Drosophila melanogaster: one gene and its partners. The protein of the gene in region 1 interacts with the protein of each later gene in a pairwise test. Each region holds a gene or a part of one and is shown in the gene's direction. Other genes may lie near its edges. The genes, in order: CG4896, Neto, HLH4C and E5.

Region 1 (7,319 bases):
GAATATAGTGCCTCCCTGTACGCTTCGAATCCCGCAGAGCACGCTTATTATGTCCAGTACTATACGGAGTACTACACGGCAGATATAAACAAAAATAACAGGGATTCCCATTTGACGGAAGCCAATTCCGGAGCAGCGGTTGCCCTCTCGGCCATCCAGCGCAAGCAGAAGAAGATGAGCAGTATCGAGACCACGATCACAGCGGCGGCCACAGCTGCCGCACAGGCAGCGGCGCAAGTGAAGGCCACATTGGCTGCTCAGGTGGCCAGTGCGCCCAAGGGCAACGATGGAAAGATATACCGTATGTCGCCACTCACTTGAGTATGCTAGCATTTTATTATGTTTCATTATGTTGCAGCCACTCCCGATGTGACGCAGTACCAGTATGATGAGACATCCGGCTACTATTACGACAGTACCACGGGTCTCTACTACAATGCCCACTCGCAGTACTACTATAACAACGAGACGGGCGCGTATCTTTACTGGGATCAGCGCAGGAGCACCTATGTGCTGGCCACGCCCGCCTCCACTCAGGCAGCTCTGCAGGAAGTCCTGGCCGACGCCGAGCAAAAGGGGGAGGAGGAGTCCAAAAAGGCGAAGGAGAAGGAGGGTGGAAACAAGCACGACAAGGTTAAGGTGGCGAAGAAGATCGTCAAGGACATGGAGAAGTGGGCCAAGCAGCTAAACCAGAAAAAGGACTACACAGCTGTGGCCACGCCACAACCAATATTGGCGAACGAGGTAGCCACCACTTCGCGTGGCAATCAAGGGGGATATGCTGATGTGGGATTCTCCATTCTCGAGAAGAAGGAGAGGGGCAAGTTAAACGACTATGCGCCAAACCCGACTGTGGGTCCAATGAACAAGCTTGTCAATGCCTATGGCGGAACATCGGACTCTGAAGAGGACAATGCTGCGAGTTCGCAAAACACACAGAGTTCAGCGGTTGTAAGCGGCGGAGGAGGTGCTGAAGAGTCCGATTACGTGGACTTCCATAAACTGACATGCCTGCTCTGCAAGCGTGCCTTCCAATCGTTGGAAATACTCCAGAAGCACTTGAAGATGTCCACTCTGCACAAGGAGAACCTGGCCAAGCTCAATCAAAACACTAGCAGTAGCATCGAAGAGGCACTAGCGTAAGTGAAATCGCGATGTGTGGTGGAGTATATTATCATTGAATTCATATTCTTTCCCAGCTATCGTGATCGTGCCAAGGAGCGCAGGCTGAAGTACGGCGAGAGCGATCCTCCCCCACCAAATAGGAGCAGGGAGCGATTCGAGCAGGAGATCAAGACACTGCAGTCGCGGCAAAAGCAGTCTACTAGCGCTACTCCAGCCATGCCCATCAGTTCGAGCAACGTGGGCAGTCGACTGCTCCAAAAGATGGGTTGGTCGGAGGGACAGGGACTGGGCAGGAAGAACCAGGGACGCACCCAGATCATAGAGGTAACTGAGCTGACGGCAAGCTATAAAATGAATTAAGAAAATTAAGCATTTTGGGTTCCCTCAGGCGGACGGACGCTCCAATTACGTGGGCTTGGGCAACAAATCGGGACAGATGATACCGGGCAACGACTACAAATCCTATATAAAGAAGATGATGAAGCAGCGCTACGAGAATGCTTGAGAAATTGGTTTTTAGCCGTTTCACATGTTTCATTTCAACTAAAGTCGCCGTTTAATTCAGCTTTTCAACCGAAGCAAAAATTATTTCCATATTATATATGAAGCTTCTTGAGCATTGTTTTCCTAACAGATTGGCGTTTTTTTAAGTCCACGAGCAAGTGTGACCGTTTAGTTAATAGTTTCTGATTAAGCGAATTTAAATCCTTTTTCGAATGTACAAAATAAAATGTAACGGTGTAAAGTTTAAATTTGCTTGGTGTTGGGAAACAACTGTTAGCTGGCACTTGGTAGCCCTGGAGCTATCGGTCAGTTATCGATAACTGGCAGTCAGATACTTCGGGTGAACGGCAAAAAAGAAGACCGAGAATTTTTCTATTCGGGTTTTTTTTTTTGGCCGGATAACTGATTGTTTCTGCCTGAATGCAAAGAGACTTCCAGTTCGGGAACAAGTTTAACCAGCTTCCAATCCTGTTACAGTCGTGGTAACCAAGTAAGATGTGCGCACATAGACGGTTCATCTAATGGCAAAAGGCCAAATCACAAACACTGCATTTAATTACAATCGATTCGCATTAGATATGGATTCTCGATATGGTCACAGCTTCTCGGGCGGCAACGGAAACGGCAGCGAATCGGGCTACAGACGCTACAGTCGCTCCCGATCCCGATCCAGGTAGGTAGTCCTTTGTCCACCTGGAGCCTCTTAGTGGATTACTACCAATTGCGATTATTTCAGGGAACGAAGTCGGGACCGCAATGAGTACAGACGTCGCAACTCCCGTTCGCGCAGTCGGGAGCGGTCCTCACACTATAGAAACGACCGCAGTCCGGATCGCGATCTGTACCGCGACCTGATCAACGAGGATTACGAGGATCAGGGAAACTACAACTCGAGACAGAACCTTGACCAGCGCCACGGCGAGGACAAATACGATCGTCGGCATGCTGATAGCCAGGGTCGCAGGGATCACGATAGCAACTACGACAAGAGTGGCCAGGATATGGATAAGGACCGCGATCACCGCTGGAAAAACTACGATCGCGTTTCGAGAGAGCGCAACCATGATGACTTCGATCGGGGATCGGAGCGCAGCAGGTAAGAAATGATACATATTGCATATTACCCATATCGTGCTCAGTGTTATCACTGAGATTAAGATTAAGCTAAGTTCTATGTTTCCATTCACAAGGCTTCCATAAGAAGGAGGACTCCTCTTTCACTAGTTTAAAAGACCTTTCATTTGCTAATCACTTGTAATAAAAGTCAAAATAATTAGAAATCAACCCATTCAGTAATGTACACTTCCCTTTGTTCGCATAAATGCATACAAATCATCTTATGAAATATTCATGCTGGATGCCTTTAATTACAGTGGATAGTATGCAAACGATGGTTTCAAACGAACCGAACGAAAATTTATTCGACAAAGTGCTCATTGTATGACCTTAAAGAATCGCTTTCCTTTCAGCCGCAGCAATGACCAGCGGCAGTTCAATAATAATGGAAATAGTAACTCCAGCAGCAGTTACAGAGATCGCGAGAAGGAGCGCGATCGAGATAGACGGTGTTCCTCGGACGAGGACAGCGACATGGCCAGCGAATTCAGGCAGAGAGGTGCCTACAACAGTGGCAGCAGCGTTGAGCCCTTGAACAACATAATCCTCTTCGGTCTGAAGAAGCACGTCACGGAAGCAGACGTAATGTTTAAGCGATAAGCAGAACGAATGTAAAATTAACCAAGTAATCCTCCACAGATCATGGGCGAGCTGATCAAGGTCGACCTGGAGCCCACATCCATTCGCGTGATGAGGAAGCAACAAACAGGTGGGTTACATTTCCGTGTGTTACATTCGATTTAAAGTGAAATTGTAGAGAAAGCGTGAGTATTGCGTGCCCAGCAACATGTTCGATGTAGGACTTATAGCAATTTCAATTATACTTGGCTTCGACATCAGCAAAAACATATAGAAAACTACAAACCGAAACAAAAACACAATCCCCAAAAATGACACAATGCTAATGATACAACCAACATTTTTTGACCAAACATTTTCGTATCTACTTCTATCTAAAATTTAGGTGCCTCACGCTGTTTTGCATTTGTCGAGTTTAAAACCGTTGAGGAGGCGACTCGTTGGATGGAGTTAACCCAGGTATCCCTAAAAACCACAAGAATCTTGAATCTTCTCGTATCCGCCAAAATAGAAATGACGGCAAGATCCGATAGCTTGGCATCAACTGTTGAAAAATGTGTGCCTTGAGTTCAATTCTGCTGGTGGGCTGCCTGTCCCTTCCATTTTTCTGTCTTAGATCAGGGAACTGAACTCAAAGGCGGAATCGAATCTTACGTAAAGGAAGCAACCAGCATCTGCGTGATGTCGAAAAACACAGATGCAATCTTGGTGACTGTGTAGTCTGTGAACGATTTGCCTGATCAGCAGTTTCAGTTACTAATTCCAATTTTACCTCTTCTATTTTTCCGTTCAGGGAGTCCTCCAACTGGGCGATCATCGTGTCACCATGCAGTATAGTCACACTCGCATCTCAGACTGGACTTGCATTAAGGTATGCTCCGTTAAGATACAGATTGGCAACAATAATTAGCTTTTTTCGCCATCCTTCAGTGTGGTGCCAGCAACTTTAAGCGCCGCTTCCAATGCTACATGTGCAATGCGTCGCGGGCGGAGAGCGAGAATGCTCTTTACGGAGCCGGCGAGGGCGTCGACGAGATCAGCCAAATCCTCACAAAAAGTATATCCACCATGAGCAATATCTTTCAATGCCGTTTCCTAGCTAATCAGCTAAATACCCCACTAACCTGCCACGCTTTCCCCATGCAGAGATCATGCTTCGCGGCTTGGACGCGCTGACAAACGAGGAGGGCGTGCTAACTGCCCTTCAGCAGCGCCTGCCCGAACTGGCCAAAACAGTCAGCAAGGTGCTGGTCAGTCGCGACGCCCTAACCAATGCATCTCGGGGCATTTGCTACCTCAATTTTGACACACTCATTGATTCTATGAACGTGTTCAACGGGCTGACGGCGTTGGATCCGCCACTCACTCTGGACGACAAAACAGGTAAATTATTACTTCTTAATTATTTCATAATTAAAAAACAAAACTTTAATCCATGCCCTTCAGTTATCGTCACCTACTGCATTGACTCCGAAAACCGTCAAATGATGCCAGCCGAAGGCAACTTTTTTAGAGCAGGTGAAACAGCGATGTCTCCGTCGGCCATTACGGCGGCCTACACTTTGGCGGATGTGCCTCGTCTTGCGGAGTACAGTGCATCCGTGTATGCCTCGAATCCGTTGGAGCATGCTAACTACGTCCAGTACTATACGGATTATTACACGACTGAAATAAGCAAGAACTGCAGAGATCGTCAAGTGACGGAGGCCAACTCCGGCGCTGCCGTTGCTCTCTCGGCCATCCAGCGCAAGCAACGGAAGGTCAGCCAGATGGAGACCACGGTTTCGGTGACAGAGGCGAAGGTCGCCTTCCTTGCCAGGGGTGAAAGTGCTCCCAAGGGGAATGATGGCAAGAAATACGGTAAGTGAGCGCACACTATTCTATCTATGCGCTCCTGTAATGTCGAATATTTCATGCTCAATGGTTAGATACTCCCGATGTGTCCAAGTACCAGTACGACGAGACCTCCGGCTACTACTACGACCACGTTACAGGACTCTACTATGATGCCCACTCGCAGTACTACTACAACAACGAGACGGGCGCGTATTTGTACTGGGATCAGAAGCGGAGCACCTATGTGCTGGCCACACCCGCTTCCACTCAGGCAGCCCTCAAGGAAGTATTAGCCGATGCCGAGAAAAAGGAGGAGGAGGCCAAAAAGGCAAAGGAGAAGGAAAAAGAAAAGGAGGAAGCTGGGGGGAAGCCCGACAAGGTGAAGGTGGCCAAGAAGATCGTCAAGGACATGGAGAAGTGGGCCAAGCAGCTAAACCAAAAAAAGGACTACACAGCAGTGGCAACGCCGCAGCCTATCCTGTCGGATACTGAGGCGGCCACCACCTCCCGTGCTTCCCAAGGGGCATATGCTGATGTGGGATTCTCAATCCTTGAGAAGAAGGAGCTTGGCAAGCTCAACGACTATGTACCGGAGGCAGGACCTCCAGCGATAAGCAAATTGGTTGGTGCTTATGGAGGACCTTCTGACTCGGAAGATGATAATAGTGCCAATCAGAAAGCACTTGAAGCTAGCGTTGGGACTAAACGAGCCATTAGCGATGAATCTGACTACGTGGACTTCCAAAAACTTACTTGCCTGCTCTGCATGCGTGCCTTCCAATCGCTGGACATCTTGCAGAAGCATTTGAAAATGTCGAATCTACACAAGGAGAATCTGGACAAGCTTAAACGGAATCCCGCAGTTGAGGCTGGCACGGATGAGGGTCTATCGTAAGTGGGAATATGCTGCTAGAATGGAGATAAACTCACTAATTTACTTACCCGTACTTAGCTATCGTGATCGTGCCAAGGAACGCAGGCTGAAGTACGGTGAGAGCGATCCTCCTCCACCAAATAGGAGCCGGGAGCGTTTCGAGCAAGAGATAAAGACTTTGCAGTCGCGCCAGAAGGATTCTTTTGGCGCCACTGCAGCCATGCCCATCAGTTCGACCAACGTGGGCAGCCGCCTGATGCAGAAGATGGGCTGGTCGGAGGGCCAGGGACTGGGCAAAAAGAACCAGGGACGCACCGAGATCATAGAGGTAGGAGTCGACGAGGGCGACGAATGGCAAAATATGGATAATTCAATGTCAATGTGTATCCACAGGCTGATGGTCGTTCTAACAACGTGGGGCTGGGCAACAACACTGGCCATATGGCGCCTGGGAACGACTACAAATCCTACATCAAAAAGATGATGAAGCAGCGTTATGAGAACGCCTGAGACTCTTCTTAAAGTGTATGATTTTATTCCGCTTGAATATAGGGGCATTTAAGCATTGTTGTTTACCTCGATTACACTTCCTCCACCTTGTCGCGTTCATTTAGCATTAGTTGCGAAGTTCAAATTGTAAATAGTTCGTAAATACAGTCTCAAATTAGGTTTAAATTTAAATTGTAAATGCTTTAAGTATGGAATTGTGCAAGGGAATCTAAATCTCGTCCATGTAGCCATGCTCATAGGCGTGACGAACGGTCTTGAAGATCTCCTGGTTCGCCTCATCGCCAGCGATGTCCAAGGACAACTGGTGGAAGGCGGGGCCGTGCATATCCGTCTCGAAGAGGCGGGACAACTCGGCGCAATCCTTCTCGGTGCCGAGCAGCCAGGGAAGGAAGTGCATGCATACCATTGGTCCGTAGAAGGCATATCGTTTGAAGTGGGCATTGAAGCGTTCGAAGCTGTATTCCTGTAGCAACTGGTCCACCCGATCGTCGGTCAACTCGTTCCGGTTTCGGCGCAGAACCAGTTCCAACATTTCGATCATGCTTCGATGGTACTTGCGCAACAAGTCGGCGTAGATCTCCTTCCTTCCTTCGGATGGCGTGTTCATGTACATAAAGAAGCTCAGGTCAATGGCCGTAGTGCTGAAGCGCAGCTCCTGGAAATCGATGGCTTTGATAGCGTCCACCTTATCTTCAGCGCCGTAGTGGAACAGCACGTTGTTCCTGTTGTAGTCGCCGTGCAGAAAGGTGGCAAAGTGGCTGTCCGGTTGATCTTC
Region 2 (5,150 bases), on another chromosome or scaffold:
CAACACTTTTTTACGCTGGAATTTCAAGCTGGCAGACTCAAAGGATACTCTTTGGTTAAGGTTAATTGGGTATTAATGTGATTACATCGATTTTAAGTCACAGCTGACGGCTTGTTATAGTTTGCATTCGAAACATCAGTTTATTTTATATTATTTTGCAAACGTGCTAAGCTTGGGAGAGGTAATGAAAATAATGACAACTTCTCTTTTGGTTTGCCTTTCGTTTAAAACTTAATCAGGTTATCAAGTAAGCGTAACTACAACCTACAATTGGAAATTTTATATGTTTTTGCAATAATAAACATCAGATTGTTGGTTATACTTTAAGGTTTCCATCAGCTTAATAATCAATTTAATTTAAGCAGCTCGAGCAATGACATAGATTTTAAAATTGGTTAATTTGAGAGAGTATTAGATGATAGGCTTCTACTTTTATTTGAGGTGTTTAACGCGTTCTGTCATAGCAACGCTTCGAAAGCTAATATAAAGGCAATTAAGAGTGTCTGGAGAAACTTCACGTAATCTGCGGGATCTCAAGTTATTAAAAATATGTTGTAATGAAGGGAATGTAGTTTTTAAGAGACCACAGAAGTCGTTTTTTTTTTTTATTTCGCACACATTTCGTACAATGTATGCAAACGAATCGCAAAGGAAATATCAAATCGCTTGAGGCTTTAAGAAAACCACATTCACAACAGTTTCCACAGTCTGTGATCCAGGCATGTCATTTGACATTTCACCAAAAAAAAAAAAACGAAAAAAAAGAAGAGAATAACAACAAAAACACAAAGAAAGCAAAATATAACCAAAGCAAATAAAATAAAATATTTTGCGAAGAAGCCGAACAAAAAATGAAGACAGACTTTGTTGTCCTTGTCAGCGTGGCTACAACTTCCTTGGCCCAGGACGACGTCGGAAGTGCCAGCGGAAATGAGTAAAAAACCTACAACTCACTCAAAATTCCCGCTCACTCCCATCTCACTCGCACTCGAACAATGGGAAATTCCGTTTCGAGTGAAATTTTGTGCCACAAACGAACGCACTTCGGCTGCTTTCGGCCATCGCCTCGTATTCCCACTCACTCGACATTGAGCGTTTGTGGAGCATCCTCAGAGATGCCAAATATTTTGGGGGGGAAAAAAAGCTGAAAATAATTATTTTCCAATTTCTTAAGGTTCGCATGAAACCCGTATACTTGCATCATTGTTTAACGTTTTGGTGAAATGTTGTGATAAAATGAGTTTAAGTTTTAAAATAAATCGCACTATTTTTTGGCTCTTTACCATATCAAAATGTATATACTAAAATGAGCTTGAAAGTGGGCGGCGAAAATATGTTGATGTTAAGAAATGCATCTGGATATCGAGCAGACGTTTCCCATAATTTATTTTTATTAAGTTTTTATTTCTTAATCTCTATAGAAAAGCAAGATATTATAGATCACTGTCAGTTTTCATATTCACATCCGTAAATCTAATAGGAAACAATTTTTGTTTAAAAGAAATAATTAAAAGCTAAGATCCGTCATAAATAGTACTGTCAATTTGAGAGGCTAGAAAAATAAGATAATACATATCAGCTTATAATTTTTAAATTTCTTTTCGGGAAATTAATTTTTAAGCGTGGGAAATGGACAAAAATTGCTAGATTCTCGCAAGTATTTTATTTTATGGTGTGATATTCTTCTAAAATTAGATATTTTTATTAATACGTATTTTTTTTTTTAACAAGTGGAATCCAATTAGTTTGTTTTATTATGTTAATGATTGTTAGTATTAAAAAAAAAACTTCTATAGATATTGGGCAAACAACTCAATCAATTTTAGGTAGTAACATAATAAAGTAATAAATACGAATACAATTCTTTTTGGTTGATAGAAAAGAATAAGACAGTGAGCGGCTGGAAAAACTAGCCAGAGTTGTCGGGAAAGCCGGCTAAGTAAGCAGCACTGGCGGGTCGACAACAGCAGTGGCAGCATCCGCCGTGGCAGCGGCAACAGTCGAGCGGCAGACTCGATGCAGCAGAGCCACAAATTCCGGCATTACGTATACGCCCAGTCTACGTCGAGTTGGCCACGTGTACGGACACGCGGCGCGGTTCGCTTTCTCCGGTGACAGCACATTCGATATTAACGTTTCACTACCAAAAAAAAAAAAACATCGCGATTGGTTGCTAATAGACAAGCACCAGAGATACGATTTTAAAATCTTAAGGTTTTGCTTTTGTTCAAAAGAAATACAAATTTTTTTGTTTGGTTGTTTGTGTGACAGTGACAGTGCCAGTGTGAAAGTGTGTGTGTGTGAAAAGCTTGCCGGCTTGAAAAATGCGCGCCAAAAATTGAGATATTTTCGCGGAGCGCAGCGGCAACAAAAACAAATAAAAACAACATTTCGCAACGCAGCCAAAGGAGGCGACAACACGCAAATAGTAATATATACATATATATATAAATTAAACATATGCACATATACATATATATATTAGATGGCAGCTTTGCAATGTAAACAAATTATATTTCCGTGTTTTCTTAAAATAACAAATCTATTTGCCGATATTTACCAATTAATTAGTGGGCTAGTGACAATATTAAGTTGCAAAGGATAACAATTATAAAATAAATACGTATACTGCTGCATTCCGCATAATAGGCAATAAATATGTTTGCGAATATATTAATCAAATCAAGGCATTATGGCTGTGGTAGCTGAATGAAATTTGCATAAATCAAGCTTCAATGATCCAGAGGGCACATTAGTCTCTTTTAGCCTGTAGTTGTAAAAGTTGTTCGGTTTTAGCCAACAAAATGGAAATGAAAAGGCAAAAAGTGGATGTGTCATAAAAATTCCTTTTGCACAGAAGGCGTCCATTATGCGGATTCTAAAGCAATATTAAAATAATCTCTAGTAATTTCCTAGTAAGTGCCCACTTAAATGAGTTTTTCTTTTTTATTAGTGCGCTTTAAGTCTTTGATTTTATTTTAATGCGTCTTGGGATATATTTATACATATTATTAATTGTTAATTTGTTCAGCAGTTTTAGATCGAATATACTTGCGATTAAACATTTCTAAACATTTTGAAAAGTGTTCGATTTTTTGTTGTTTTTATTATTTATCTCATATAAGCTACAATATATGTTGAAAGATTTCGAATGAATGTTTAATTTAAACTATTTTGTCGCATTCGTTTGGAAACTTCGACCGTATTTTCTATGTATCCCGTATAGATAAGTTTGGGGCCACTTAGCGAATTGGCGGACATATTTTTAGACATAGCCCAAATAGTAAAAAAACAAGAGCAGAACGAGTAAGCGAAGAGGGGAAAATTGTATAAAAACCAAAGACACGAACGCAGAGGCTATAGAGAATTGGTGAAAAATGAGAGAAATTCATTAATAAAAGACAGCAACAAAAACAAGAGCAAAAATTAAACGGCTGCCATCAGGCTTTCCCACTTCTCTCACCAATTTTCCCTTTCGTTTTCCCGCTTTTCCTTGTCCACGGCACAGCTGTGATCACACGAAGAGAAAGAAAAAACAGAAGAAAATTCGGAAAAAAATGAAAATAAAAATTATTACATATGCGTAATGGGTATTTTGTGTTGTTGCTGCTGTTATTGAAGAAGATTTTCCAAGCTACAACTACAACAATTCCGTTAGCGCCAACTTTGACGAAGGTTTTCCATCGGCTTTTCTTTAAATACCCTCGCGAATACGCAGTGTATGGATTAGGGATTGATGAACTATGCTATTAGGTTAAATAAAAATATACTCCGCAAAACAATAATAATCATTTGGGCTTGCAAAACTGAATGCAATCTTTATTTATTGCATTAGTAGATTGAATAAATTAATTGTTTACGGGGTATTGTGTTGGTTGTTAATTGTCCATTAACTTAATTTCCCAGTGTTTTCTCTGTTTTGTTGCCGTCTCAATGAATTCACTAGACTTCCAATCGTCCCATCTCTTTCGCATGCTGTGCAGCCATCTCTCTCTATCGGTGGCTGACAAAGTTTTGCATTATGTTCATCTCGTCTGTCGCTCTTCTATATCCCATTCCCACATATGTGGCTCAAGGCTATCTTATACACGCACTTTCAGCGCCCTCGTCGATTTCTTAGTTTTTCTTCTCATTTTCCATTCATTTTTGCTGCTCCCATTTCGGTTTTCTTAAATTTTTTCAGCATGTTGCCCTCATAAATTTGGGCGAGGCAAACAAAATTTTTGTGGTAAACTTTTATTCACGAGGGTTTTTTTTATTTTTGAAGGGAAACTTCGATGGTAATTAATGGCATGTTGACCAGCTGGTCAAATAGGGAAAAGGATTATTCCTGCCTTTTAAGGACTAAAGTAAAGGATGAGTTCTTACTCCAAAAGAAAGCTTAAATCATATTATTTTCTTCTTCTGTGTATTCTTATTTTGTTCAAGAAGAATGTATCCAGCATTCAACAATTACAAATCAATGTTTAATAGCAATATTTATTTGTACTCCGTATTTTCTGAGTGTGATTATATTGTTGTTCAGATTTTCTCCATTGATTTTAATTCAACCATTTCGTTTTTGTGATCCTTTTAATTTTCTTAGCCATGTTGTAATTTCCCTTCTAGTTTTTCCACATTGGACTCCATTTAGTTTTATCTCTCTGCAGCTGTGCTGAGATTAAATTTTGTTCAATTTTTGTAACCATTTATTTCAATAAAATTAAGCCAAAAGTTTTTACAGTTAAGCCCAAACTTCCTTTGGCGATTTCGGTTAGCTTAACTGCTTTCCGCCTCCTTTGACCACCCATTTCCTTTGTGTCCCGAGCAACAGGTCCTCTCTCATTTGCTGGGATTTCTTCTTATTTATTATTTGTGTCTGTCCACAGTGTTTTCATTTCTTTCCCCGTATTATTTTTGGCCGCAAAAAAGTCTGATCTTAAAGCCTTTTTGCATTGTGCGGCGATTTTCGCAGCAATTTCCCGTGGAATGTGAAACTAATTGCAGCTGGACTTGGGTGGTTGGAAAACGCAATGGCATACAACTAATCAGAACGGAAAAAGAGCAGAAAAGCCTGGAAATGGGCATGCGAATGGGAATGGGAATGGGCCATTTTTTTTCGGGCTGCTGGAAAAGCCAAAAGAAAAACGATTTCAATAAATGTCATAAAT
Region 3 (4,953 bases), on another chromosome or scaffold:
AGAATTAGAAAGATCCCTGGAACGCACCCTCATTGGCCAGCACATCGTGAGGCAGCATATCGTCCCCGCACTGAAGGCGCACATCGCTTCGGGCAATAAGTCACGGAAACCGCTGGTCATCAGCTTTCACGGCCAGCCCGGTACGGGCAAGAATTTTGTGGCTGAGCAAATTGCAGATGCTATGTATTTGAAGGGCTCCAGGTCGAACTATGTAACCAAGTATCTCGGACAAGCTGACTTTCCCAAGGAAAGTGAGGTGTCTAACTATAGGGTGAAAATCAATAATGCGGTGCGCGATACCTTGCGTAGCTGCCCGAGATCTTTGTTCATCTTCGACGAGGTGGATAAAATGCCCAGCGGAGTATTCGACCAGCTCACCTCGCTGGTGGACTACAACGCCTTTGTCGATGGCACGGATAACACAAAGGCAATCTTCATCTTTCTCTCGAACACGGCGGGCAGTCATATAGCCAGTCATCTGGGTAGTGTGATGAAGAATGGTAGGCTGCGCGAGGACACACGACTGAGTGACTTTGAGCCCCTTTTGCGGAAGGCCGCCTATAACATGGATGGCGGTATGAAAAAGACCACCATGATTGAGTCTCATGTTATCGATCATTTCATTCCGTTCCTGCCGATGGAGAAGGCGCATGTGATCAAGTGCCTGGAGGCGGAGCTTTTAAGGTGGCGGCGCGATCCTAAGCAAGCGAACAACCAAAAAATCATTGAGGACATAATAAACTCCTCCATTAGTTACGATCGCACGCACAGCTTGTTCGCCATTTCGGGCTGCAAGACGCTGGAGAAGAAGGTGGCCATGGCCATTTACTGAGAAAGGACCGACCGACTCCACATTTTAATGCTTAGTTTGGGTTTCGGTTTGTATTTAAAAAACTATTTTTTCGGAATAAAGAAAACAAATTTTAACTACCAGGGATTTAGCCACTTGAGGCGGGCATCTTTGCGCAGCAGATCGGTATCCAGTCGCTTGGGCTGCTCGTCGTAATCCTGGCGAGCCGCCAGGCGGGTATCGATGGGTCCCAGGTCCTTGGTTACCAGGCACTCGCCGTTCTCCTTGAGTATCGTATGCCGGACATCCTGGGCAGTGGGCTCTCCGTAGGGGAACGTGACCGGCGTAACCTTAATTAGATGCTTGATCTTCCACAGGCGGGCATTGTTCTCCGGTATGTTCTTGACGACAGTAAAATCGCTCTGCTTTCCGTCTAGTCCCAGATCTTTGAGGATTCGATTCTCCCAGTAGGGATTGCCCTTTAGCGGCTTGATGCGCTGCACCCGGAAAAGTTTCGCCGGCTCCACGGGTGGATCCTGGTGATCGGGAGTCCTGAGCGGGATAGATTTAGCATTAACAAATGCTGGATTTCGTGTGTTTTCCTTTTATACACTGCACACGTGAATACGAACCTGGGATAGTAGGTGATACCCTCAAATTTCTGGCCATTTTTGTAGAGGAACTTCTTGTTGTGCTTTCCGTAGCTGCGCACCGAACATGCGGTGCTCCTCAGTGGATTCAGCAGCCTTCCCAGGTTCATCTTAATTGTTTTCCCCCCTTTGTAATAAAATTAAATGCAAAACGCTTATGAAATAATTGATGTTTCCCCGACGATAACGATTACACAGACATCTGGTTAACTAGTTGCCTATCGATGGGCAGCATGGATACTGCCGTTATGTAAACCAATGTTAACCGCTTGCTGTTAAGCGATACAATTCAAATGCAAAGGCGGCAAAGTTAAAAGTGATAATTTATCATGTACAAACTGAAGATAATTTATCATTTACAAACTGAAGATAGCGAAAACATTATCAATAAGATGGTAATATATATTCGTTGTTTTTTTTTTTAATATTTCAAGAATTAGTTGAGAAAAGAAAGTTTTTAGGTCATCGGATTACACAGCCTCCAGGGGATGATGTCCATTTCTGGAAAGGGGCGGTCTCATATCAAAATCTCCGCCATTTTGTCAGCTACAATTGGCGCTAATCGACGAGGGTGGATAACTTGGCATTGGCTGGCTTTCAACGCAATGGGGTTGTTTCCGATTTTGGTTATAAAGGAGGCTGCAGCTTCCCGACCGGAAGTCAGTTCCACGTGAGCATCCATCCGGCGAGCAACCGACTCTAGTGGCAAGCAAGGATATCTGCCAGACAACTCAAGGATCTAGAATAACTCTGCACCTGTGATAACTGCTGTAAGTTCAGGCAACAAAGCCCAAAAATTGTGAGCAATGCAAATGAAGTGAATGTACTAGCGAGTAGAATAATCAAATTAAAGATACAAATAGCTGAATGAAGTCTCTAGTTCGTTTAAAATTATATCTAGAAATTTGTTAATTAGCTAACTTGACCATGTGCACGCACTCGACATGTGTAAGTGTACTGGAGTTTCATAGTCTTGAGGGGACTTGAGTTACACGACAAGTTCTTAAAACTAGATCGGATTTCCATCATCCCATGGGATCAATAGACACGTCTTCGACTTGATGCAATTCCAGTGACACTTTTTGGACCCAAAACCCATTAAATCAATAGATATAAAATCATACGTTAACCGCAACAATACAAAAAAGGGTGGCCAAGCCTAAGGGGTTGGCATCGCTGAGGTTTGCCAACTCCCGCGGGCAAATAAACGTGCCGATTGTTCAGCTATTTGTGTAGGTGTGAAAATATGCTGCGAATAAACAATACACGCACAATGCCGACAATAAGCACAATAAGTACAATAAAAATAAATGAAAATAATAGCAAACGCAAACAGAATGCAGCGAAAAAGGGGTGTGTCCTTCATCGGCAAGGACGACACACACACACACGGACACCCTTCATCACAAATGTCCACAAATGAAGCATAAATAATTCGAGTGCAAGGATTATGATTTCTTCAACGCCTATTGTAACCTTTTTTTTTTCAATAGCATGAGCGCTCCACCGCAAAGGTAGCCACACTTTTCGTCTTCCTTGAGTTTGAAATGCAGATCTGTGAAGCAATCAAGTACACATTTCGTTGTATTCATAGTCTAAGCTGTGCATCCTCTTGCTTCCATTTCCATTTCCAGCATTCAGCAGCAGGCTGGGCAGCGCAAGAAAGTCCAGTGTCCAGCACCGAAATCAGTGGTGCAAATAGCCAGAGAATGGTCTACGATATGAGCCATATGGCGGCGGGTCCGCCGCAAAGCATTTCGCTTAGTCGCTACTATCTGGTCGACGATGATGAGATGATTGGGCCAAATAATCCGCATCTGGTCAACGAGGACTATGCGGCCAGTACGACGCTGGATATCGATAAGCGTTTTCAGGCGCGAATGGCGTGCGAAACGGCCGCACAACCGGCACCGCCACCGCCGCCCACGCCGGCGCCACGTCGCCGGACCACGCCCATTGCCCATTTGGATCCATCGGAATTGGTGGGTCTATCGCGGGAGGAGCGGCGTCGTCGCAGGCGAGCGACACTCAAATACCGAACGGCACATGCGACGCGGGAGCGTATACGGGTGGAGGCATTCAATGTTTCCTTTGCCGAGCTGCGCAAGCTGTTGCCCACATTGCCGCCGGACAAGAAGCTTTCCAAGATCGAGATCCTCAAGCTGGCCATCTGCTACATTGCCTATTTGAATCATGTGCTGGAGACGCCCTGAGATAGCGCCGGCGCCTCCAGTTTCGCCACCAGCTGCCTCTTTAACGAGGCCAATTTTTTCGCCCCCCCGTAGGAGGTGGGGGGGCGTGGCGGGCGGATTTAGGGGGAAAACATTGCGAATATTCCACATCCGATAAACGCATTTCACCATGCTCTGTAATCCGCACATCGCTCCATTGGATACTTTGCCGGTGGCGGCTATGGATAATGCGATTATCGAATTAGCCATCTCACCAACTTAACCGAAGTGTTCGATGGATTTTGCCGATTTGCTAACCTATTTAACCTATGGTTAAATACATACATTTTTTTGTTTTTTGTTTTTTTTTTTCCTTGCCACTGTTGAAAGACAAATGCCCGTCGTTTCGTTTCGATTCGTTTTTTTTTTTAGGCTTAGGTTTGTTTTCGTAGAAACAATTGTAAAGCCACGATTTAACCTAAGGTTAAAATATGCCCGTACTAAATGTAGAAGATATAAGCTATTAGTTTGTGTAATTTAATTGAAAAGTAGAAATATCGAAGGAAATAACAAAACTAAATATGCCAGTAGTACATACAATTAAATTTATGGGAAAGCAGTGCTTAATCCTCGGAGTAAACCTTGATCATGGTTTATATAATATAAATAACCAAGAAAAAAAAAACAGAACCTTAAACTAAGATCCATTTTTTGTCTAGCCTTTAAGTCGTGATATTTGTTTATACTCAAACGATTAATATATACAGCATTGTAATCGCAATAAAAAATTGTCTACTTTATGTATTTTGGCGCGCCTTTGCACGACACTCCCCTCGACTTTTGGACACCAGCTGCTCTGACTGAGTTTTCCATTTGTCTGAACGCTTTGCTCGGAAAAGCCAGATGCTAACAGTTCCCCCTTTTTCACCAACCTTCAAGAACCACGTATCCACGTATCAAAAGCGGGCGTGTCCTTTGCGCCAAGCCCCGCCCATTTGTGTAAAAGCGAAGTAGAGCAGCCTCTGTCATAATTTTCAAAAATTGAGGATACATTTTTATTTTTTTGTTTTAGAAACTGTGAAAGCGTCACGGAAATTTCGACTTTTGTGCAAAATTTCGAAATGGCCCTTCATTTTAGTGCACAGCAGGTAAGACAAATTTATTCTAGTCGATTGGGAGGCTGTTTTCAATATCCATAAATAGTGGCCTAATTTGGTTGGTACGGGTAACGGGTATATATATATATACATATATATATATTTGTGTGGATCCATGGATGTAAACATTTTCGCAATAATAATAACAACAAACGTGGCAATGGCAACCAACTCGATTCGGCGCC
Region 4 (5,017 bases), on another chromosome or scaffold:
CGAGAAAAAGGCCCTAGAACTTGCATCGCGTTTCGCGAACTGATAATGCAGGCATTTGCTGCATTTTATCTTTTTGTGGGCCCTCCTTCTGGTCATATATCAAGTGCGGTAAATGCCAAAAAATACGCCCACAAAATCATTGATTGCCGATCGATAACCTTTTGCGGTGATGGAGCATCCCATAAAGTTCTCGTCCCAGCTCATTGTCTGACTAATTAAATGATTTATCCCGAATCGTGAGGCAGAGGAGCTGGAAAGGAGATGGGAAAGAGTAAAAACCAATTACAATTACCGCACCCAGAGGTGCCACACTCACAGATATAGATATATGTATACGTGTATACATGAGTGCATCTGCGGCAGCAAAGCTGCTGCCCCACCGACAAGCAACGGCCTTATCTAGATGCATACAAATCCAGCCAAGCGCACGTCAATTTATTTGCCAACTCTCGCCTCCTTTCTGGCCAACATCCATATCCATTCATGGCCAAAAGGAGGAGAATCGCATGTATTTACCTATGAGAAGGCTGCGAAGTTGGCGCTGCATGTTTTATGCCTCCTCCTGCATCTTTAACGAGGTGTTTATTTTCACAACTCACAGCCAGCGGATGAGGATGCGGATAGGGATGGGGATGGGAATGGGGATGGGGATGGGTATACAGATACTCGGATGACCACGCACAGATACAGATGCAGATACGTTCCCTTCCCAGCACGCTGTATCTGTATCTGTGAGATTCGCGCAGTTGCAGCTCGCCGAAGGTGTAGAAACCAAGTTACCGCCCATTTTCGTGTCCAAATGCTTTTGGCCAACATGATGCAGATGCCAATTCAGAATGGTAGAATGGCCAAGCGGCGGGGGGAGGGAAAGTGGTTTATAGCCAGCACTGACGACGGGGCGTCTAAGCTATATAAGCGATGACGTTGATTCCACTGCACAGTGGTATCGGCTCGATATCCTTTGAAAAATGCGTATTTTCTACTTTTGAGTTATGTACAAATTTGAACACTTTTTAATATCGATTTTCCAGTAGATAGTAAATAATTTAATACATGAAAACAATTTAAAAACGGTTACTGATGAAAGATAAACGTTTAAGCCTTAAATATTTCAATGAATAAATACAATTCAATTAAATAAAGTTTCAATTTTTTTTTATTGTTAGTATTTGCATAATTAAAAGAGGGCACAGTTCGCTTTTCAATTTTAAATGTTATATTTATTATATTTATTTTTAATCATCGAAGACCTACTTCCTATCCACTGTTCGGGTGCACCACCCCCGTTCCCCCTCCTACGCTCCAACAAACTGGCCAACCCGCTTGGCACTAAAACCACAAACGCTTTAATGATGCTGTTTTGTTTAGCGCAAATTGTTTGTTTCGCTGTCATAAACTGGTGCGAAAAATGGCCAAGAGAGCGACAGAGAGAGAGAGAAAAAGAGAGAGATTGGGGCCCCTCACACACCCACACACCAACAAGCCCAGAGAGCGGGAGAGCGAGCGAGAGAGGAGGTGGCTCCACTTGGAGCCAAGCAGGTTTTCGGAATATCCACTGAACTATTGTTGCGCTGCTTTGGCGCACGCGCACCGAGCCACGTGTGCGAGCGAGACGCCAGCAGTATTGCTGCGCTGGAAGTACAAGCAAAGGAAGAAGAAGCACACTCGAACTGGCCCCACAAACTTTTTGCGGCTTTTTCCAACGCGACACTCGAGCTAAAACGCTCAGCGTGAGAGCCACGCAGCGATTCGCCGACGCCCCCGCCAAAAATCAGGACAGAAAGAGAGAAAGCGAGAGAGAGACAGAGGTTGCGAGCGGCGAAGTGGAGCCAACAATTAGACGCCTTTAGACGCTCCATAATGCTAATGGCGTTGACAGTGCTCATCATCATCGCAGCGCGGCCACCGCAATCGTTTCGTTACCGGGTAGCCGGCATAACCGTTAACCGTTAACTGATACCGCCACCGCCACCGTCAATCGCCAATAGTCAATCGCCAACCATCAATCGCCGCCGTCAATCGTCCAGCGAAGCGGTACGGTCACGCTCCAATCGCCGCGTTGCCGCCGCTCCAGTTACAGTTACAGTTTATCAATGTCACGCCGACGGATGCCAACCGCTGGAGCATCGCAGATACAACGCTACGTAGCTATATAGCTATAGCTATCTGATCGGAAAAACAGTGCGTGTGTGCTTATCTGATATCTAGTAACCATTAACCGATGTACGCGATCATGTTTCCATAGCACCAACCCATTTATTGGGAGCTTCGATCAGTACAACCCTTTTTCCGTTTCCGTTTCTATTCAGTTCAATTCCATTTCAATTTCCATTCCCTTTGATTTTAGTAGGATTTTTACCGTTTTATTTTATTCCTAAAACTTTTAGTTGAGCATTATTCTTTTATTTACTGATTTATCCCGTTCGAAAATACAAAATTTTTTTTTTCAAAAAAGTCAAATATGGAATGGAAAAAATGGAATTTAAGGCCTACAAGTGTTCTTATAATCTACTTCGACTTGCAGAGACTTCGAATCGGGAAGTTTAAGAGGAGGGAAAGTGATTCATTTGTTTTTCCAATCAACGAAACCCCTACCAAATGGTCACCTGCGGCCGGCAAACGTTCAACATGCTGCCCATGGCGCCGACGAGTCCTTTTGTGAGCAGCAGCTCCTCGGTGGCCGCATCCTCGACTTCCGTTTCCGCCAGCAGTACCGTTTCCGCCTCCGCGAGCAGCAAGCCCAAGCTGGCCTTCAGCATCGACTCGATTGTGGGCGAATCCTCGACGAGATCGGCTCCACTAAGGGTCAGTGTGATATCTTCGCCGCCGCCGCGCAGCGAAAGTCCCGCTTCGCCAACGAACACGAACAACAGTGGGCGCCGGACGCCCAGGGGCTATATCTACTGCCGCAGAAGGGATTCGCTGGATCGATCGCGCAGTCCTCAGAGATCACCGGTTAGCCGGTCGCCATCGCCCCCCAATGCAGGAGGCAATCCGGCAGCGGCCGGGAATACTGCAAAGTCCGGGGATCCATCGTCGGGAACGGGAAATCCTCCAACCCTCATCCGTCCGTTGCCTCTGCCGGCGCCAAATCTAGCTTTAATTGGGAACCGCACCTCACCGAACGCCATGGCGGTGCGCATGGCGGGTCCGCCCCACCCGCCGTCGCAGCCACCGCCGTTCCTTGCCGCCCAGTTCCAAATGGCTGCTGCACTGGCTCATCATCACCAGCAGCAACAGCAGCAGCAACAACAGCAACTTCCGCCCGTGCCAACTGGACCGCCACATGGTCCACATCCGCATCTGCCGCCCGGCCAAATTCCACTTGGAATCTTTCCCGGCGGACCGCATCCCGGGCATCCTCCGCCCCACGGACACCATCCGTTCGGGAGTGCGCCGCATCTGATCCGGGATAGCTATCCGTTGTATCCATGGTTGCTCAGCCGACACGGACGCATTTTTCCACGATTCCCAGGCAGTAAGTAATCACACTGTTTTAAATATATCTATTGTTTATTACAATATTTTCAATAAGTTCAGAGTTCAGAGAAGCTAACCGGTTTAGCAAGCGGTACTTTCATATGTATATAAAACCGCTAAAAATTATTTCTATAAATTGAAAAATATAATTTTTATGCATAATCATCTAAGCTAACAATTATTTGTAATAAATTTACTGCAAAATTAATAACAGTTTATATAACAATAATACATATCATTTAATTTAATATTTACCCTATTCTGATAATAAGAGTACATCTCTCTTTTACGGATTATTAGAAAGATAGTTGTTACATATATATTTTTCATATTTGAACATTAGAATATTATGATAGTTTACGGTCGGTTTCTTCTTCTGGAGATAGCAACCACCCCTTTTGTTGGTTATTTTTCGCTATAACGAGTTTTCCGCATTCATTATAGCCGTTTCAAATGGCCGCTGAGTGTTGCGAGCGACAGAGAAAAAGAAACCACACCTTAAGTCATATTCGAAGCCCAGCACCATTATAGTAGAGAGGACCCCAATCAAGCAATTATTCAGTTATCGCTGTTGTTGCCGCGCAGCTCCATATAATTAAAGTTAAATAAGCAAATGGCAAACATTTATTACAAGTTAATTAGACGTGTATCGGGCTCATCATCATCAGAGGGAGCGGGACGGAGAATGGGAGCGAACAGGAAGGGGGGAATGTGGAGGGAACCGAACCCATTTTGATAACTATTTCCAAACAAATTACATTTTAATTAAATTGTTTAAACAACATTACACACATCGTTAGGTCAAGCAGCGTACCTAAATGGCCAGCCAAGTGTGTGAGTGTGTGTTTAGCATTTATTTGCTCTATTTATACTTTTTCTCTTCACTCGAAATTACCATTAATGGCCAACAGACGGCGCCAGTTACTCATGCGGCGGGCCCATGCGGCGTATGTGTAACGTACGAAAAGTGCAACCATTGAAATGTTAATGCGTTTTTAATTGAGGTTTTGGGGCAACCAAGCAAAGAACCGAGAGGAATGGTAAAAAAAAAAAACTGGCAGATAGAAGCGAAGAGCCACCGCAAAGCGCATCTCAAAAACATTGTCATTTATTACGGTTTAACCACTTTTTTCTACCATTCCGCTGCTCTCATGATTACCATTTGAATTTCCAGGCCATGTTGGTATCCATGTTTTTTTTCGGCCGGTTAAATATAATAATAATTTTCGGCACACTCACACGCCTTTCACCTGCTTAAGTGTACATGTATCCCCGTTACGCCTTAATTATGTTGTACTCCGTTTCATTATTTTCTCCCTTTCTACTTGTTTTCCCATTTCCCGCCGCTCCTTCTCTTTTTTCTCACTTTTCTCCGCGCCGCCTGTAATTTTCGCTTGATTTATGAACGTGAAATGTCAATGTTTCGCATAACGATTTCATTAATTGTAAATGTTTTTCATCTCCGTTTGTTTTGTAACTCGTGTGAGTAATACCAGGTTACATGGGTTTGTTTTTCTTCCATTTTTTCCCGATCTGG

The links.
Region 2: the proteins of CG4896 (region 1) and Neto interact in a two-hybrid assay, tested with the Drosophila melanogaster proteins (one large-scale study listed by BioGRID).
Region 3: the proteins of CG4896 (region 1) and HLH4C interact in a two-hybrid assay, tested with the Drosophila melanogaster proteins (one large-scale study listed by BioGRID).
Region 4: the proteins of CG4896 (region 1) and E5 interact in a two-hybrid assay, tested with the Drosophila melanogaster proteins (one large-scale study listed by BioGRID).

The regions. Positions count from the first base shown.
Region 1 is NT_033779.5:1,175,743-1,183,061, forward strand, and holds CG4896 (uncharacterized protein), read left to right. Parts: upstream 1-1,947; 5' UTR 1,948-2,119; exon of another isoform or gene 2,120-2,205; 5' UTR 2,206-2,207; coding exon 2,208-2,302; intron 2,303-2,365; coding exon 2,366-2,725; intron 2,726-3,098; coding exon 3,099-3,327; intron 3,328-3,384; coding exon 3,385-3,454; coding exon of another isoform or gene 3,455-3,489; exon of another isoform or gene 3,490-3,709; coding exon 3,710-3,783; exon of another isoform or gene 3,784-4,117; coding exon 4,118-4,195; intron 4,196-4,254; coding exon 4,255-4,381; exon of another isoform or gene 4,382-4,470; coding exon 4,471-4,707; intron 4,708-4,770; coding exon 4,771-5,184; intron 5,185-5,252; coding exon 5,253-6,051; intron 6,052-6,112; coding exon 6,113-6,362; intron 6,363-6,427; coding exon 6,428-6,544; 3' UTR 6,545-6,712; downstream 6,713-7,319. Other genes in the region: CG4887 (uncharacterized protein), read left to right, coding at 1-301, 359-1,139, 1,200-1,449, 1,514-1,630; CG5126 (uncharacterized protein), read right to left, coding at 6,753-7,319.
Region 2 is NC_004354.4:13,443,850-13,448,999, forward strand, and holds the start of Neto (neuropilin and tolloid-like), read left to right. Parts: upstream 1-2,053; 5' UTR 2,054-2,428; intron 2,429-5,150.
Region 3 is NC_004354.4:4,644,564-4,649,516, reverse strand, and holds HLH4C (helix loop helix protein 4C), read left to right. Parts: upstream 1-2,102; 5' UTR 2,103-2,210; intron 2,211-3,074; 5' UTR 3,075-3,149; coding exon 3,150-3,653; coding exon of another isoform or gene 3,654-3,725; 3' UTR 3,726-4,390; downstream 4,391-4,953. Other genes in the region: torsin, read left to right, coding at 3-832; mRpL30 (mitochondrial ribosomal protein L30), read right to left, coding at 928-1,342, 1,423-1,550; CG3062 (uncharacterized protein), read left to right, coding at 4,733-4,759.
Region 4 is NT_033777.3:13,871,761-13,876,777, reverse strand, and holds the start of E5 (E5), read left to right. Parts: upstream 1-1,861; 5' UTR 1,862-2,181; intron 2,182-2,524; 5' UTR 2,525-2,598; coding exon 2,599-3,478; intron 3,479-5,017.